Linked DNA regions of Drosophila melanogaster. Changing the gene in region 1 together with any one later gene gives a genetic interaction. Each region holds a gene or a part of one and is shown on either strand. Other genes may lie near its edges.

The links.
Region 2: of AMPKalpha (region 1) and Trpml, changing one suppresses a phenotype caused by changing the other (phenotypic suppression), as found in Drosophila melanogaster (one study listed by BioGRID).
Region 3: of AMPKalpha (region 1) and ACC, changing one suppresses a phenotype caused by changing the other (phenotypic suppression), as found in Drosophila melanogaster (one study listed by BioGRID).

Annotation. Positions count from the first base shown.
Region 1 is NC_004354.4:1,372,797-1,378,646, forward strand, and holds the start of AMPKalpha (AMP-activated protein kinase alpha subunit), read left to right. Parts: upstream 1-2,739; 5' UTR 2,740-2,959; exon of another isoform or gene 2,960-3,073; 5' UTR 3,074-3,112; coding exon 3,113-3,391; intron 3,392-3,899; coding exon 3,900-5,369; 3' UTR 5,370-5,850. Other genes in the region: ssx (sister-of-Sex-lethal), read left to right, coding at 1-251, 362-555.
Region 2 is NT_037436.4:19,714,918-19,720,767, reverse strand, and holds the start of Trpml (transient receptor potential cation channel, mucolipin), read left to right. Parts: upstream 1-2,439; 5' UTR 2,440-2,699; coding exon 2,700-3,068; intron 3,069-3,769; coding exon 3,770-4,620; intron 4,621-4,760; coding exon 4,761-5,499; 3' UTR 5,500-5,850. Other genes in the region: CG42637 (uncharacterized protein), read left to right, coding at 1-324.
Region 3 is NT_033778.4:7,984,709-7,990,558, reverse strand, and holds the start of ACC (Acetyl-CoA carboxylase), read left to right. Parts: upstream 1-3,321; 5' UTR 3,322-3,493; exon of another isoform or gene 3,494-3,610; intron 3,611-4,780; 5' UTR 4,781-4,797; coding exon 4,798-4,957; intron 4,958-5,107; coding exon 5,108-5,493; intron 5,494-5,556; coding exon 5,557-5,678; intron 5,679-5,850. Other genes in the region: Nup44A (nucleoporin at 44A), read right to left, coding at 1-434, 496-606.

The DNA.
Region 1 (5,850 bases):
TCCCAACAACCACAACAACAATCACCCCAACAACCACCATCATAACAACAACAACAACAACCACCACAACATGGGCGGCCCGCATCCGCACCACATGCAGCAAATGCACCCGATGGGCATGAACATGGGCATGGGCGTAAACATGGGAATGGGCATGGGCATGGGCATGCCCATTCACGGAGGCGGCGGTGGTGGTGGTGGCGGCGGCGGTGGAGGCGGTGGTGGTAACTTCCACCACATGGCGCACAGAGGTAGATCAAATAGAACAACACGATCTCAAAAACCGCATCCATATAACCATGCACAGAAATTTATTTAAACGCCATTAATTTCTTTACACGATATTAGCTGCATCTCACAGGTGAAGTGTTCATGCTGCCATTGCCGATTTGCAGCCGATTCCCCAGCCAGCCGCATCCCGTAGGCAATGGCATTTGCCACAGCCCCAACAAGAACAGCAGATTCCGTTTAAGCCGCCGCCCGCAAGCCTCCAGAACAACCATCAGATATATTGCGCATTCGGTGGCAGATCCCGTTCCCACTCCGACTACCTAGTGCCGCTCTACTTTCCAGCCCCCGCCCATCCATCAGTTGTTTCCATCTCCTCGCCAGCTGCGTCACTTTCGGCCTACCCAGCTGTTTTGGCCGTGTATGTTCCGGTATATGTCACGGTTCCGGTCTCTCTTCCTGTTACCATGAACAGAGCCAGTCCACAAGCTTAAAGTGAGTGCAGACGGAGGCGGCGGAGGCGGTGGCCACATGGTAGAAGCGAGTAGAAATAGATTGAGTGCAATCGGAGGAGGGAAGAGGAGATATTACCCAGAAGCGATATCCAATAGTAGCCAACTCTCTCGCTCTCTATGTGTATGTATGTATCTTGCTATCCATATATGTATATCCATATCAGAGAGCCAGGATTGGTTGAGACCATACGATATAACCCGAAACCACACTGGCCAGGAATAGCAAATCCAAGCATTGGCAGCAAGAGGCAAAGCAAAGGTGCACGGCAGACATAGGCAGTACCACAAGAACACTATCACAGAATTAAGCAGAGCAAATTAAAGATGCATAGCGTGTATTAAGATGTACGAAATAATGTTCCAAAGTTAACCAGCCTACACAATCCCCAACAACACACACACACACACACATAAAGACGGTCGGAGTCGAATCCTTGATCGAACCACATAAGAAAAAATTCCAATGAGTTTGTATGAGCAACATACAAAGCCCCAAACGCAAACCATCAGCCACTCAAGACGAGACGAGAACGCAACCAAAACTCAAATATAACTTTCCTGCACTCATCTCCAGTTCACGAAACAATCTTCGCTCTTGGTGGATTGCGAATTGTAAATGAATTGAGTAACTGCACGGATGCAAAGCCCCAAGATGTGGCGACTATTCCGGCCGGACACTGTGAGACGGACGTTACACACACGGATATATAGAGAGACGAACCTTATGACAACAGACAGAAGACGCTTGCTCTGAATAGATGGTTAATTTGTAGACTTATAAGGAACGTCGACAGCGAGGGTTCGTTCGCGTCACTTGCTTTTTACTACATTATAAATAAATTATTGATGTACTACCAACAAACCAAGAACAAGAACACCACACTATACAAACACCTATATATTAGATAATATATATGAATGATGTATAAATACCCGAACTTCGGGTAAACTTCCAACAGAAACCCGACAAGAAGATGGCTGAATATGAAATAAACTTGAAATTTTCCAACCAGCATACCCGTGAGACCCAGAGGTCCGAAATTTTTTTTTTTTAGTATTGATAATCTCTAAACGTAAATCCTAGTCTCGTAGCAATATCATAGTTAAGGTGACTTTTTTTTCAGAATAAACTTAAAGCACGAAAGAAATACATGTATTTAAACCTTAAATCCTAAAGTTTATAATAAACGAACACAAATTGAATTCTTGAGTCTGCGAGCGAGATGGTGCGATGCAGCCTCAGCGAAAGAGAGCGAGAGAGATGATACAGATTTGAGGTACAGTCAGCACAGTACAGTGCGGATCAGAGCTTAAGTTGACGATATACTATTGTTGTAAATTGATGTTAGGCTAAGCAAATAAATAGTTAAAATGTTCAATTTTCGCTTAGCTGAATCCTGATCGTCGTAAAAACGCATTTACACGAACATTATATACTAGTCATTAAGCGGTTCTATTTGACAGGTGAAAACAAGAAGCTGTGGCAGCCTTTTACTACAGAAACTAAAAAAGAAAAATACAAAGCTTGACATATACACGCATATTTGTGAACAAACTGAATTTTACCATACATCTTTGAGAATTTTAGGACAGTATTCTTGATAATCTATATTGAATGTTGATCTACACTTAACGTTGCACAAAAGAGGTATCTTTCTGACCTTCTATGCGCGTGGAGTGGATCCAAAAAATCAACTTGGTGTAATAAATGTGTATTTAAATCACAAAACGGGCATCTTTTCCCTTTCAATTGGACATCAGAGAGTTTCGACAACGCACACCTACTAGTTTTTTTGCGAGCTTAACTATTTCAAATGTGGTTGAGTAAAGCCATTAATATTGCTTTTTATAAATTCAGCATAAGTGGCAAGATGGTTTTAAATTGCGCGCCACTGCGGAACTACCTGGCATCACTGGCCGCCACTTATCGATAGCCACTGGAAGGCGAGAGAGAGAGAGAAAGAGAGGGCGCGAATCAGCTGCTGGAACGAGTGTTGTTGGAAGGCAGTGTTGTTGGAAGTGGCAGCGCCTTCCAATGTCAATTAAATAAGCAAAACGCGAAGAAAACCCAAGCGTAAAGGAGAGTCTCGTTGCCGCGCTCGAATAGAAATCCAGGAAATCAGTATCAATTCAACCGCCCTTGACACATCCACAACCACTTTGACATCCGAATCCGTATCCGGGCGAGGTGGCACGGCTGGCAGGAAGAACGTAACGTGAGTGGCTGCTCTATTCTATTCTATTCTGTTGATTCAGCGGAGTACACTACGCAATAACCGATAACGACCTTACCACCGCTCCCCTCTCCGCGCCCATCCGCAGCGGAGCAGTGGAGCACCCCCAGTCCAACAAGGAGCTACCTGCTCGAGATGCCCCAGATGAGGGCTGCGGCCGCTGAGGCGGTGGCCGCCGGCAGCGCCAATGGCCAGCCGCTGGTCAAGATTGGGCACTACCTACTGGGCGCAACCCTGGGAACGGGAACCTTCGGCAAGGTGAAGATCGGCGAGCACCAGATCACACGCGTCAAGGTGGCCGTCAAGATACTCAATCGTCAGAAGATCAAAAGCCTGGACGTCGTGGGCAAGATCCGGCGTGAGATCCAGAACCTAAAGCTCTTCCGCCATCCGCACATCATCAAGTTGTACCAGGTGAGTTCATGGCTCCAAGCTTAGACTTTCTAAGTCCAAGCTTTCCAGGAAACTGGGTTACTGGTTTCCTCTTCCAATTACGCTGGCCAGCTACTAATAACAAACAATCAAGCCGCAGTTTAATAAACAAAAAGGCAGGATATGCCCGAAGGGGGAATAGCTTTTCTATAACAACATTTTGGAGGTTTGTTTATCTATAAAGTACACGGTCATGCCTAGTCATCCGAATTTTGTTGCGGAAGGCAAATGCATATCTAGAAACTGGGCCACTGGCTAGACATTCGCAACAGACATAGAAGCCCAACTTAAATGAGCAAAAAGTTTGGAAGGAAAGTTTATAAAAGGAATATGTACGGGGTCTGCTTTGGTTTTACAAGCACATTTTCCCTCGATTTTCGGATTGGATCAGTTACCAATTAGGTTAGGCAGGGCTTGGGGGAACCTAGGGACGGCTGCAGTCATCAGCTGATATAAACGTGCTTGCTAACCTTTCCGTAACTCTCCGAAGGTCATATCGACGCCGTCGGACATCTTCATGATCATGGAGTACGTGAGCGGCGGGGAGCTGTTCGACTATATTGTGAAGCACGGCAAGCTGCAGGAGCACCAAGCGCGCCGCTTTTTTCAGCAGATTATCTCTGGCGTGGACTATTGCCACCGGCACATGATCGTGCATCGAGACCTGAAGCCAGAGAACCTGCTGCTCGACCACAACATGCACGTGAAGATCGCCGACTTTGGGCTCTCGAACATGATGCTGGACGGCGAGTTCCTGCGCACCTCGTGCGGCTCGCCCAACTACGCGGCGCCCGAGGTGATTTCCGGCAAGCTGTACGCCGGTCCCGAGGTGGACATCTGGTCGTGCGGCGTCATCCTGTACGCCCTGCTGTGCGGGACGCTGCCCTTTGACGACGAGCATGTGCCTACGCTGTTTCGCAAGATCAAGTCGGGCATTTTCCCCATTCCCGAGTACCTCAACAAACAAGTGGTCAATCTGGTCTGTCAGATGCTGCAAGTGGACCCGCTCAAGCGGGCCAACATCGAGGAAATCAAGAAGCACGAGTGGTTCCAAAAGGACCTCCCGGCCTACCTCTTCCCCTCGTCCATCGAGCAGGACTCCAATGTGATCGACACCTACGCTGTGGCAGAGGTCTGCACCAAGTTCGGCGTCAAGGAGACCGAGGTGCACAACTCGCTGCTCAGCGGCGATCCGCACGATCAGCTGGCCATCGCTTACCATCTGATCATCGACAACAAACGCTTCGCCGACGACGCGGCCAACCAAATAAACGAGATCAACAACTTCTTTGTGGCCGGCTCTCCACCACCGCCGCCGCCTCCGCCCGTTCCCCAATCATCGATGGACCACCAAGCCCCTCTGGCCACCGTGACCGTTGGCGGAGGTACCTCAGCCAGCTCGGGCACCGCCACACCAGTGCCACCAGTGGCTGGAGGCACGCCTAGCAGCACCATACCCATTCGACCGCATCCGGAGCGGATTGCGCCGATGCGGGACCGTCAACTGGCCATGTCCGTGCAGACATCTGGCGGCGGAGCCTTCCCGGAGAAAACCGCACGTGGCGGCACTCCCATCAAGCGCGCCAAGTGGCATCTGGGCATCCGGTCGCAGAGCAAGCCCAACGACATAATGCTCGAGGTATACCGAGCGATGAAGGCACTCAGCTACGAGTGGAAGATCATCAATCCGTACCACGTTCGGGTGCGCAGGCAGAACGTGAAGACCGGCAAGTTCTCGAAGATGTCACTGCAGCTGTACCAGGTGGACGCCAAGAGCTATCTGCTCGACTTCAAGTCGCTGACCAACGACGAGGTCGAGCAGGGCGACGACGTCATCATGGAGAGCCTTACTCCGCCGCCGCTTAGCGTGTCCGGGGTGATGCCGCTGCAGCCGACCGGCCACCACACCATGGAGTTTTTCGAAATGTGCGCCGCCCTGATCATTCAACTGGCTCGCTAAGGATGAGGTGACCGCCATCGGCCGCAGCGGACCGGATGGGATCTTCTCGGCTGGCGATCCGCACTCGGACAGTCCTGAGGATTGACCATTACCCGGAAGACACAGTCCCACAAAGGAAAGCTGGGGGGAGTTTCGGGCTCCGCGGATCCCGGAGTCTGGCCTTAACCACATGACTAAGTTCTTGCATTCGTCCCAAACCCTTTTGATTTTAATCGGAAACCCAATGTGCAATTATCGGTAGCAGGATTTGGGAATAGATTTTAAAAATGGCCTGCTACTAGACGACGAACAAGAGCTTGGGACTCCGACTCCAGCTTTTCTTTGTGCGGCTGTGTAATCCACATAAAATGTTATTGAACTCGGACACCGCCAACCGCCGTTGCCGCTACGCTACCGTTACCCGCTTTGCCGTATCGATTTCCGCTTCCGGTTAGTCTAAGTCTGTAGGTTCCGCCCGGTCGGCGGGCTTCGATCCGTTTCT
Region 2 (5,850 bases), on another chromosome or scaffold:
AACAAACGTTGGCACTCACTGGAGCACATGGATGGTCCCGGTGGGCATGGCGGAAATAGCGTTAGCTATGCCGCCGATATTGATAACCGCCACCCCGGAGATCTGGACTTCTTCAGCGGTTCCTCCAATCAGCATCATAGATCCAAAGCGGCTGGTGGGAGTAAGCTGACTAACTGGATGACTAACATCTTCAAGGGCAACGGCGTGCGTAGCGGTGAGGCTAGGCGAGTAGGAATCCTGCCCAGCGGTGTGCACGGCGCACGAACCGGATTCACGGATATGGCGGCATCGGCAGCAGCCCGCGATCGTGAGAGTATAGTATAGAGATAAGGAGAAGGCAGTGTAGAAACTAAGGAAGAAGGAGCAGGATGACCAGGATGAGCTAAATAGCCGGATGAGAGAGATGGAAAAGTTACTCAGGAACCGAGTCGAGCAGGAAACGATCGTCTTTTGGCTTACTTCTTTGTTTTATGTATTGTAGTTTGTATGGATCGAACGAATTGTGTGTCTGTGTTGGAAGTCATCCACCTATAAACATATACCAGCCGGTTCTTAACTCTTTGATCGCTCTGGCATTGCGGGACTCTACATATGTGTCCTATGGGTTTCCAAACTATTTTTATTCGTTTTCGAGGAAAATCCTGCGATCCCGAAGTAGAAGCGAGCAGAAGCTGAAGCGAAAATCATACATAGCATATATTTTATAACTCTACATACATACATATTAGAGAAGCCGAAAAAACCGTCTAGTCACAAGGTCTTCAGACTAGTTATTGTTTTATATAAAATAAACACACACCCACACATCTAAATGTACGTTTGTAAATGTAACACATAAACACAACGACACACATATTTATACGACGATGGAGAATCAAAATCAAATATTTTATGTAAATGTAATCGAAATTTTCTGCTTTCCATACACGATGCGCAGCAGCAAACAAATTATGCTTAAACAGAAACTAGTTAATTTATGTATTTGAAAATCAAAACGAGCGTGAAAAATGTAATGTATCAATGTGTTTTGCTAGTACGTAGTTAAGTGCGTGTGATTGTACGTAATATTTAAGTCTCTAAAGCTAAAATAATAATTATAATTAATTGAACGCGAATTGTGAGCAGAGAAGAGCGAAAATGCGCCCGATGAGAGGTGTTTTAGCTGTATGTATGTATGTATGTATATTTTTAAATGAAAATTTGTTAAATTTGCCATATATAAATACAAACGAGAAACTATTAAAAGTGTGTTTGTCCAGATATGCTTAAATGGTGCAAAATGTTCAATAGATGGTAGATACGAGGGTGAATCCTGCGGGAAAGACTAGAAACTTGGAGAACACTTCTTCTAAAAGAAACATTTTTAAAATATTCCGAGCACTGGGAACAGTTGTGTTTTGTGTTTCGACAAACATTTCTGAAGTCGTGGTGAATACAAAAAAACATGTTAAGCATATAAGAGATCACTGTAAGTGTGATCTCACGATAAGATCTCTGTAAGTTCTTGCAACTAAAGCCATCGATTCATTGGAACTCCTTTTGAAATGTTTATGCACTGGGAACAGTGAAACGTATGGGAAGACTTCGTGGGTTTTATCAAGAGTTCTTCTTGGGCAGAAAGAAAACATTTGTTTTTTCCTGTGAGTATTATATTTGCTCCAAATGATTATGTATTATTTTACGCTTTTAGTTTATTGGAACTCCTTTTGAAATGTTTATGCACTGGGAACAGTGAAACGTATGGGAAGACTTCGTGGGTTTTATCAAGAGTTCTTCTTGGGCAGAAAGAAAACATTTGTTTTTTCCTGTGAGTATTATATTTGCTCCAAATGATTATGTATTATTTTACGCTTTTAGTTTATTTTTTAACTTCAATTTAATAAGATAACTAAGCATTAGTGACAGATGTTGACATATGTAAGTACGTACGTATGTTTAATGTAAAATACAATGTCAAAAATGAGGTAGCAGTTTTCAAGACCGCAAAATAAAGTTGATTTCTCATAAATTCAAAAATATAAAAAAAGGAAATAGTCATATTTCTTGAACATAAAAGAATAATAAATGGATGGACCTCAATATAATTTTGAATGTACGTCCATGTAGCGTCGATGAGTTAGCTGCGTTAGAGGAACGGCGGAATTTGGAATACGGGGAAGTTTTTAATTAATTATTTTTTCGATATTTAGAGCTGAGTTCTATAAACTGAACTCGTACATAGATAGTTAGATCTTTTCTTTCTTAACATTATTTAATTTTTTTTGGAATTCACCTCCAAATAACGGAAAAAAATAAATAAATAGGAAAGTTCTCCATGTTTCATGTTTCACCGTGCTGCACTTGAATTTTGACTACCGATGAAAAGGCGCGCGATTTAAATAATCGATGATTGCAAGCAACTATCGATGCTGAACTCTATTTGGAACAGTCGATTATATCGAATAAACATCTGTAATCGTTTAAACCTATTGAAAACAAAGCAATTTTCGTGGTCTTTTGGCCAGTATTTAATATAAATTCGCTGGCAAAAGTCGCGTATTAATTGCAAAAGAACACATATTTACCTCCCCTCCCCCGATTGCTTGTTGCGCCTGTGCGGATTCTTCTTTTGCATGTCGACTGGGCGGGCAAAAGAAAGTTAGCACGGAGAACAACAACGCAGGTGACTTGACCTCGCAACGAAGGAGGAGCACATCGAGATGCAGAGCTACGGCCCCGGAGCCCAGACAGCTCCGGCCGTCAAGCGCCGCACGGACAGCTACGAGGCTGCCCAGCAACAGCAGCAGTCGCCGGAGAGCGACGAGGAGTACGTGAACACCAGGATACTGCGGCGCCAAGTGCAGCTGCAGTCCACTCCGGTGGCCCCGGTGGTGCCCATGCCCATATCCGCCGGTAGTGGCACTGCCCCACCCTCCGTGGATGGCCGCGAGGAGCAGCCCGAATTCCCCGGATCCTCGGCTGCATCTTACCAGGAGGAGCGAATGCGCAGGAAGCTTCAGTTCTTCTTTATGAACCCCATTGAGAAATGGCAGGCCAAGCGGAAATTTCCGTACAAGTTCGTTGTGCAGGTGAGTTCACATCCGGGTTTCATTTGCAGTTCACATCTGGATGAATGCTAGTTAATTGAAGTCGTGTGATGCGCGGCGTTTGGGGGCGGAACTCGGGTGACACATCTGAACCACTTATTTAGGCATTTCTCTTAATTTACAGACGCCTTTAAACAGCCGTCTCCGATCTTCAATGTTTGTCTAGATTTCGAGCATGTAAAATGGGGTAGAGTCAACACAGTCTTGATTACTTTGCTTGCATTGTTAAGCCCCTCCACTCTTATCGATGCCTTATCTGATAGGTCCAACTATTGTTAGCACAATACGTAATAAACAAAGTGAAAATTCAAGAATTTTATGGCTAGAAACTGCGTGTGGACGCTTTTGTAGAACCCAAAAAGTTATTTAATATGCGATAAACATCGTGGTCAGGGGGATTTCTTTTGTGCGATTTTTAATGATTAATGCGAAAATGTTATGACTAGTCTTTAAGTCTACACTTAGTCTCTAAGGTCTACAACTAAATTAGATTTCCTGTAGATACCCAATAAATATAGTCTGACGCATGCTCTAACATAATTCGGCTTCTATTTATAGCCCAGCCTCTAGATCTCTGAACTGGCGACCAAGAAAAGGTCCGTCCCCTGAGGCCAAAAGGCAAATAGAAACTTTAAAAGTTATACTATAAACATTTCTTAGCAACTCAAGAATTTTTCTCTTAGATTGTAAAAATCTTTCTGGTGACGATGCAATTGTGCCTTTTTGCCCACTCGCGGTATAACCACATCAACTACACGGGTGATAACCGATTTGCCTTCTCACATCTATTCCTGCGCGGCTGGGATTCTTCCCGGGAGGTGGAGAGTTATCCGCCTGCTGTGGGTCCCTTTGCTCTATACCTCAAATCGGAGTTCTTCGACACTGTGCAGTATGCAGTCAATGGCTACGCGAATGTAAGCCGATCTATTGGACCATACGACTACCCGACGCCCAATAACACAATGCCGCCACTAAAGCTTTGCCTGCAGAACTATAGAGAGGGCACCATATTTGGCTTTAATGAGTCCTACATTTTCGATCCACATATCGACGAGGTGTGTGAGCGACTACCTCCGAACGTAACCACCATTGGGGTGGAGAATTACCTCAGGCAGCGCGATGTGGAGGTCAATTTTGCATCTCTTGTCTCCGCACAGTTGACGTTCAAGATAAAGACGGTTAATTTCAAGGCAAATGGTGGACCTCTTTCTGCTCCTGATTGTTTTCGGTTTGACATTTCCATAACGTTTAACAACCGAGACCATGACGGGCAAATGCTGCTCTCACTGGATGCGGAGGCGACGCGGCTGAAGTGCCACGGAGCAACGGACTTCATATCAGACGCCAATTTCGATTCCATGCTGCGAAGCGTACTTAATATATTCGTCCTACTAACATGCGCACTATCCTTTGCACTCTGTACAAGGGCTCTGTGGAGAGCATATCTGCTGAGATGTACAACTGTCAACTTTTTCCGTTCGCAATTCGGCAAGGAGCTGAGCTTTGACGGCCGACTGGAATTCGTTAACTTTTGGTGAGTCCTTTGTTTTGTGTTATAAAAACCTCGGCTATATTGGCAACAAGTATTACCCATAATGCTGAAGGTTAGGCCGACGTAAACCCAAAAATTATCAGAAAGGTTGCAGACTATAATAAACCGTTTTGCTTTCGCAGGTACATCATGATCATTTTCAATGACGTCCTTTTGATCATTGGATCAGCTCTAAAAGAGCAAATCGAGGGAAGGTACTTGGTGGTGGACCAATGGGATACCTGCTCGCTTTTTCTGGGAATTGGCAACCTGCTTGTTTGGTTCGGAGTGCTGCGCTACCTCGGCTTCTTCAAAACCTACAACGTTGTGATACTGACGCTGAAAAAGGCGGCACCAAAGATTCTGCGCTTCCTTATCGCCGCCTTGCTGATCTATGCTGGATTTGTGTTTTGCGGCTGGCTGATCTTGGGACCCTATCACATGAAGTTCCGATCGCTGGCTACAACGTCAGAGTGCTTGTTTGCGCTGATAAACGGTGATGATATGTTCGCCACCTTTGCCACGCTTTCCAGCAAGGCCACCTGGCTGTGGTGGTTCTGCCAGATCTACTTGTACTCGTTCATATCCTTGTACATTTATGTGGTCCTGTCGCTGTTCATTGCCGTCATAATGGATGCCTACGACACGATAAAGGCGTATTACAAGGATGGCTTTCCCACCACCGATCTCAAGGCATTTGTCGGAACGCGCACTGCAGAGGACATTAGTTCTGGTGTCTTCATGACCGACCTGGACGACTTCGACCAGACGAGCTTCCTTGACGTGGTGAAGAGCATTTGCTGCTGTGGACGGTGCGGTCGGCATCAGGAGCCCGCCCAGCCCAACAGTGGTTACACCAGCCTTTCTAGTATTATGAAGTAACTGGGTGCGCTATGTCGACCCGCAGGTCTTCATTTTGTTTTGTTTTGTCAGCTTTATGTGTGTAGTCAAACTTGTTGTTAGCTTTTTGTATTAGTTTGTTAATTTGCCAAAGCACTTGAACCGAGATAAGAGAAACCATAACGTACGTACCTATGAGAAATTCCAAAAGCAGCTGCTCTGATCACAAACAGCGGGCATGTTCCGATTTTATCTTTCGCAGCAATGGCTTTAATTCGGTTTGCAGAAATATAATTCTGACTGAAATTCATTTTTCTTCAATACAAAAATTACAAAATGTATAAGACCAAAAGGAAAAACTAAATGTAAGGCGAATTTGTGTCATTTCTGCGA
Region 3 (5,850 bases), on another chromosome or scaffold:
AGCAGCTGGGTGACCATGTAAGTGGAAGTGTTCCAGGACAAACAGCTCAGCGGCAATTTGTTGCTAATCTCGTGCTGCACGGGCCACTGCGAGAGGTTCATAATGTCCGGGGCCTCATAGATGCGAATAATGCCGTCGGCGGAGGCGGTGGCCAGCAGGAGTCCCAGGTACTTGGGTGCAAACTCCACATCCGTGACACTGGTCCGCGAGTCTACAAGGGTGGTGCGGCGCACCCAGCGGCGAGTGGGGGTATTGGTGGAGGATACCTTTTCGCCAATCACCTCCTCCCAAACGGAGGCGGTGCGATCAAATGAGCATGTGGCCACAACCTGGCCAAATTCCGGGTGCGCCCAGGAAACGCGCCAAATGGAGCCGGAGTGCGCTTTCCAGCTGCTCGTGACATTCCACTTGCCCTGCCCATCCTCGTCCCAAATCTGCAAGCAGAAAATCCGGATCACCTAGGCTGTTTATCGTAGGAATAATTCGAGTCCTCACCTTGACGGTCTGATCGCTGGAACAGGTTGCCATCCTGCGGCCGTAGTAGTCGAAGACCACGTCGTGTATCACATCCTTGTGGTCGGCAATAATGGGTTCCACGTCGAACATGATAAAAACTCAACTTATTTACCGAAATGTTGTTTATAAAATGCACGCGCCGAAAAATCTGCGCCGGTAATGCAGCCCTACAAGGAGAGACAGGGTTGGCTTGCAAACAGCCGCCGAACAGCTGTTGTTTACCTTGCTCAGTATTTTTTCAGTACGCCCAGGCGAACGGTCACACCGAGTTAGTGGTCCGAATTACGCGTGAAATACGAATAAAAAATCGAGCGAAAAATAACAAAACACAGTACTCTAGTCGATCACAAGCTGATAACGTATCAGCCGTGCCACACGCCCATCCGGGATTCGCGAGAACCACACTAGTCGGAGAGTCAGGACTCCAATAGCCGCCAAGAGGCCGTTTTGCACCCGGAAAAGAACAGTTACACACAACAAAATTGCCAACCGAAAGAAACGTGCGAAGCGCAGTGCGATGGAGAAGAGTAAGTGCGGTAATCTAAGCACTAAACGGGTAATTACGGCCCGATCCTATACGATACGATCCGAGCGAAATGTATGCGCATATGTGTATGCAAATGAGTGGGGTGAACAACCCCACAGCATAGTCGTATGTAGATCGGGACCCGCGTTTGTTTAGCATTTGAATTCGCTGGCTAAAGTGCGGATTTCAATCAAAGTGCAATGGGCAGCATAAATTCCAATTGCTTCCATCTGCAATATGCTCAATATGTCTTGCCTTGCTCGCCCTCTCTCGCTCGCGCACTCGCTGCTGACCTTGATTCCTATTGGATTTTACACATCGCGCGATGCCCGTGACGTATGTGTGTGTGTGTGTATGGGCGAGAGAGCAGCATAGCTGCCAACGTGTGTGTATGTCGGCCGGCATCAATTACCTAATAAGAACTAAATTGGAGACTGCATTTCTTGTTGGTATTGTATTGCATAAATACGATATAAGTATATTTATGAAATATGAGCATATCACAAGGACTCGAATCGGAAATTCAATCCAACGCAGTCACTACAAATTCGTAGTATTTTGCTAAGAAATTAAAAAACAATTTAACTGTAAACCGTGCACTTTACAGTGTCTACAAGATTTCAAGTGTGTTATCACGCACAAATCGGTTGTTTGTTGCTCTGTAGAAATCCTAGAGATAAGCACATCGAAATCAGGCGTTTCACACGCGACCGACTTTCGGTTCTATTATTATTTGGCTGTGATATCAGTAGACGGTTTTTTTCTGGCCACGCGCCAAACATGAATAATTCGAACAGAATCGAACACCGAAATACAAAAATTTCCGTGCGATAAGATGCCGGGAAAGATTTGGAATTGAGCCCGAGCCGAAACCATGAAGACCCGTCACCGTTAAGTATTAATCATAATCGGTCGCCAAGGCCAATGCCGAAATCGGAAGATTTTTCAGGCACTCGCCGCCTATCTGAGATTAAAGCGGGCGTCGCGTCGGGAATTTCTTTTATGACTTTTAAAAAACCTCTGCTGATGCCGGGAGCAGCGAGCATCACGGAATGAAAACAAATCAGCGGCGTTCGCGTGTTCTGCTCGTGGCAGCGCACTGAATTCGTTAATAATAATTCGATTCAAGTGCATCGCGCTAATCAATTTCTGGCGTTTTCGCCCATTTAACCCTAATCAGCATCGCTTGCCACTTACGCCAGCAAATTGAGAAATTATGGTCGTTGTTGTTGCTGCTTGCTGCTCCCAGCAGCAGAGTGCATTTCCGTCAGCGGTTGGGTCAACTCCCAGATTAAGTCCAGCTGGAGCAGCAACAACAACAACAGCAGTACCGAATGCCATCGGCGACCTTGACATTGAAAAGCTACCGCCGCCCATGAGACAGAGATACATGGAAGAGAAAAGAGCGGGACGCACTGCTAGTGACAGAGAGGGGTAGACGGTTGTTGGCAACAGCTGATCGCCATCATCATGTCGCTCTTATCTTTTATCAGCCGCAGACCGTTAAGGTATAATTGCTGTGCAACAGTGGAACTTTCCTATAGTGGAACTCACTGATGTTAAGCTGATTGCGATTGCCGCTGGAAGGGCATGCTTTTATGGTTAGTTTTTATGAGTTTTTAGTTTGGAAACTACGCAAAAAATCCAATATAAAACAAAATGTCATTGTAGTTATTCCAGAACTTGTTGAATCGGTATATACAGAAACCTTATTCATCACTGACGACAATAAAGAAATGATTTTGTTAAATATTTCTCTGGTGCCACTGTACCCAGCATTTATTTATTCGGACATTGTTATGGCATAATTGGTTCACAAAAAGATCACTGAAACCGACGGAGCACACTGGTCGTCATTACTTGAGCCACCTTCATAAAAATTGTTATTAATCCGGCAGGTTGCCCCGCTTAATTCGACCGCCTTTCTGTTCGAATTAGTGGCGCTCCTTGTACATATGTAGTTCTTATGTAGTACATAGTGCACATATATTCCTCCTGGTCACTTGGCGCTGGCTGAGCCAGCAATAAGCAAAACAATAACACAACAACAACAACAACAATTGGCTTGGCGACCCGCGAGACCCGCTGGCGATTAACATACGAGCGCAACAACCTGAACACGCACAAACACAGGTCCGCGCACGAAAACCTGGCCGTAGACGTAGTCAAAGCTATAGCTATAGTTGATATTGATAGTGGCGACGCCGAAGTCGGCGTCCGCTGCGCGTTCGGAGAAGCGGCGTTCAGGCATCGATAGTGCTTTTCGGACGAGCATGGCCCAGTTGAGTTCCAATCGTCGGTCACTGCAGTAGCCATCTAGAAATCGTGCGGAACCAGTCAGTCTAGGAAGTTCAAACCGATCCTACACGGTCTACTACAATCCGATCCGATCCGGTCCGACCTCGTCTTCGAAACTGCCATCACAAGCTAAACAAGGGCACACGCAGAGTGGTAAAGCGAGCTGAAACCGTAGATCTAAATCCTAAGACGAACTAAACCCAAAACACAACCGTATCATATCCAGCCAAGGTCCCGAAAAGTGCTGCCCTAGAGATAATCGCACGTCGAGTAAGATTCTTTTGTTTTCGACTGTTGAGTAATGCCAGCAGAGTTCTTATCACAGGATCGGTGGTAAATAAAGCACAATTAAAAGACTCCATCCATTGCGAGGGTGCGCACTAACGGAGCTACTTGAGTACGGGACCGGGCCACACCTGTTGAGTCGTTTCCAGCGCAGAGTGTAACCCAAGTCCCAGTTCTCTGCGCGATTTCCGAGTAAGCGGTTACATAACACCCCGCTGGTTGCCAGAGATCGATTCCGGTGTCCAATCCGACTTTCCGTGTCTTTCAATGCCCGCCGCCTGGCTGGCACACTTACACACGTGCACACATGTATACTGTAATGCCAAAATCATTGACCTCTTCTGCTGGCCATACCACACCGATTTGCATTTCCTCACACCAACCAACCAACTGGGGGGGTTTTGTTTCTGTCAGCTTAAGTTTCTTCAATTTTCCCTTCGCGCTCTTCGCCGTTTTGTTTTAATTTTAAATGCGCTGCACATTGAACCTCATATCCGAAATTAATTTTCGTGTTTTTAAGTTTTATCGCCCTGCCAAAGGGTATCTAAAGTAGATTATTTAGTAGTGAAGCCATCTTTGACCCGGAAACAGCTTGAGCTCCTGTATTTTCGTATAGTATATTGAAAACTTTGATATGTACTTAGATTGAAACTTTTCAAGTGATATATGCAGGTGTAATAGTGTTGATTAAATCGTAATTCGACACCTGTCACTAATTACGTAGTTGCTAAACATAATATTCACTTGCGCCTTTACAACGTACTTTGAAATACTTATTGCATACTTTTGAAGTCACCCGCTTGATCTGTAGATTAGTTTGAATTTCCCGTAGAGTATACCTTATTCGTTGACCACATCTCTTATCAGCTGCCTCATTGACCTGGCAACGATTTATTTTTGGGTCTCATATGGTTGTTTTTTCGGTTTCTTAATTGTATCTCGCAAACTAGTTAATGCATTGATTAGCATTTTCATTTTGTTTTGTTTCGCCGCTTTGGCCTACAATATCGTGGCAAGGTTTTTGAACTTGAAAAGTATCCGAAACAAGATGATGCACAGGCACTTTCACTATCTACACACTGTAAACTAACCCAGCTAGCTGGCCACCAGATAGCAGATTATCTAATCCGATTTGCATTCACCGATTTAAAGCAGCTTTTTGGATTTAGCCGATGTTGATCACGATATTAGGCACTCTGGCTGCTTTTCTCGCATTCCTCTTGACATTGATCTTTGGCCGCGGCCAGAAAAGATCCAAACCCGTCCAATCGTCTGCAGCAACATCCGCCACGACAGCAACAACTGGCGACAGCGACAACGGCAACACCAATCGTAAGAATCCCCCACTTTGCTAAACCGAAACACTTGAAGGGCACACAAATCGCACACCTAGCTGATAACCCAGTTTAATTAGTTCATTATGTGTATACGACTTTTGACCACGACTCACGCGTACCTTGTTTTCCTTATCTCTGCTTACAGACAACTCCAGCGTGATTGCAGCTACAGCAACGGCAACAACCACCAGCAGCAAGCCTCCTATTGCTCCAGCAGCACCTCCTTCGGCGGTAAAAGCGAGTGACAAGCGATTCCCCAAGGCGTGCATCAAGAAGGTCCAGTTCTCCAGCGAGAGCCTCCGGTCCGACGTGGATGAGCTGTGCGACCAGCTGAAGGATAGCGCACTCAGCAATCTGAGCAACGACAACATTCGCATTGCCTGCCACCAGAACAACAACAACAGCAGCATCAACAAGAACCAGAACAACAACAGCATCGACATCAGCATCAGCATCAGCAAGATGAGCGAAACAAATGAGTCCAATGACACGGCCGCCCAATCCGCCGAGGGCGAGCGGCCCAGCTTTTTGGTACGATTCATCATATTTCCCATCTCTTGGCACCATCACTCAGCCACCGTTTCCCTTCCACAGGTGGGTGATGAGATCGACGAGCGGGCCGCCGAGGCGGGCGAGGCATGTGACGAGTTCCCCCTGAAGATGCAGAACGATGTCCGCCAGAATGGCGATATTTCCGAGCGGCGCAAGCGGTTAAGGTAAGTCGATTTGGGTTTAGCCCAAATGAAAATGGGACAGAAAACATCAGAAGTACATTATGGTTGTGGATAGAAAGCCATTTATTAGACAGAAATTTCTTAAATGAGATTGCGGTCTTTATACTTAGAATTAAATACATTGAAGATAGCATAAGGATATATATGAGGACTT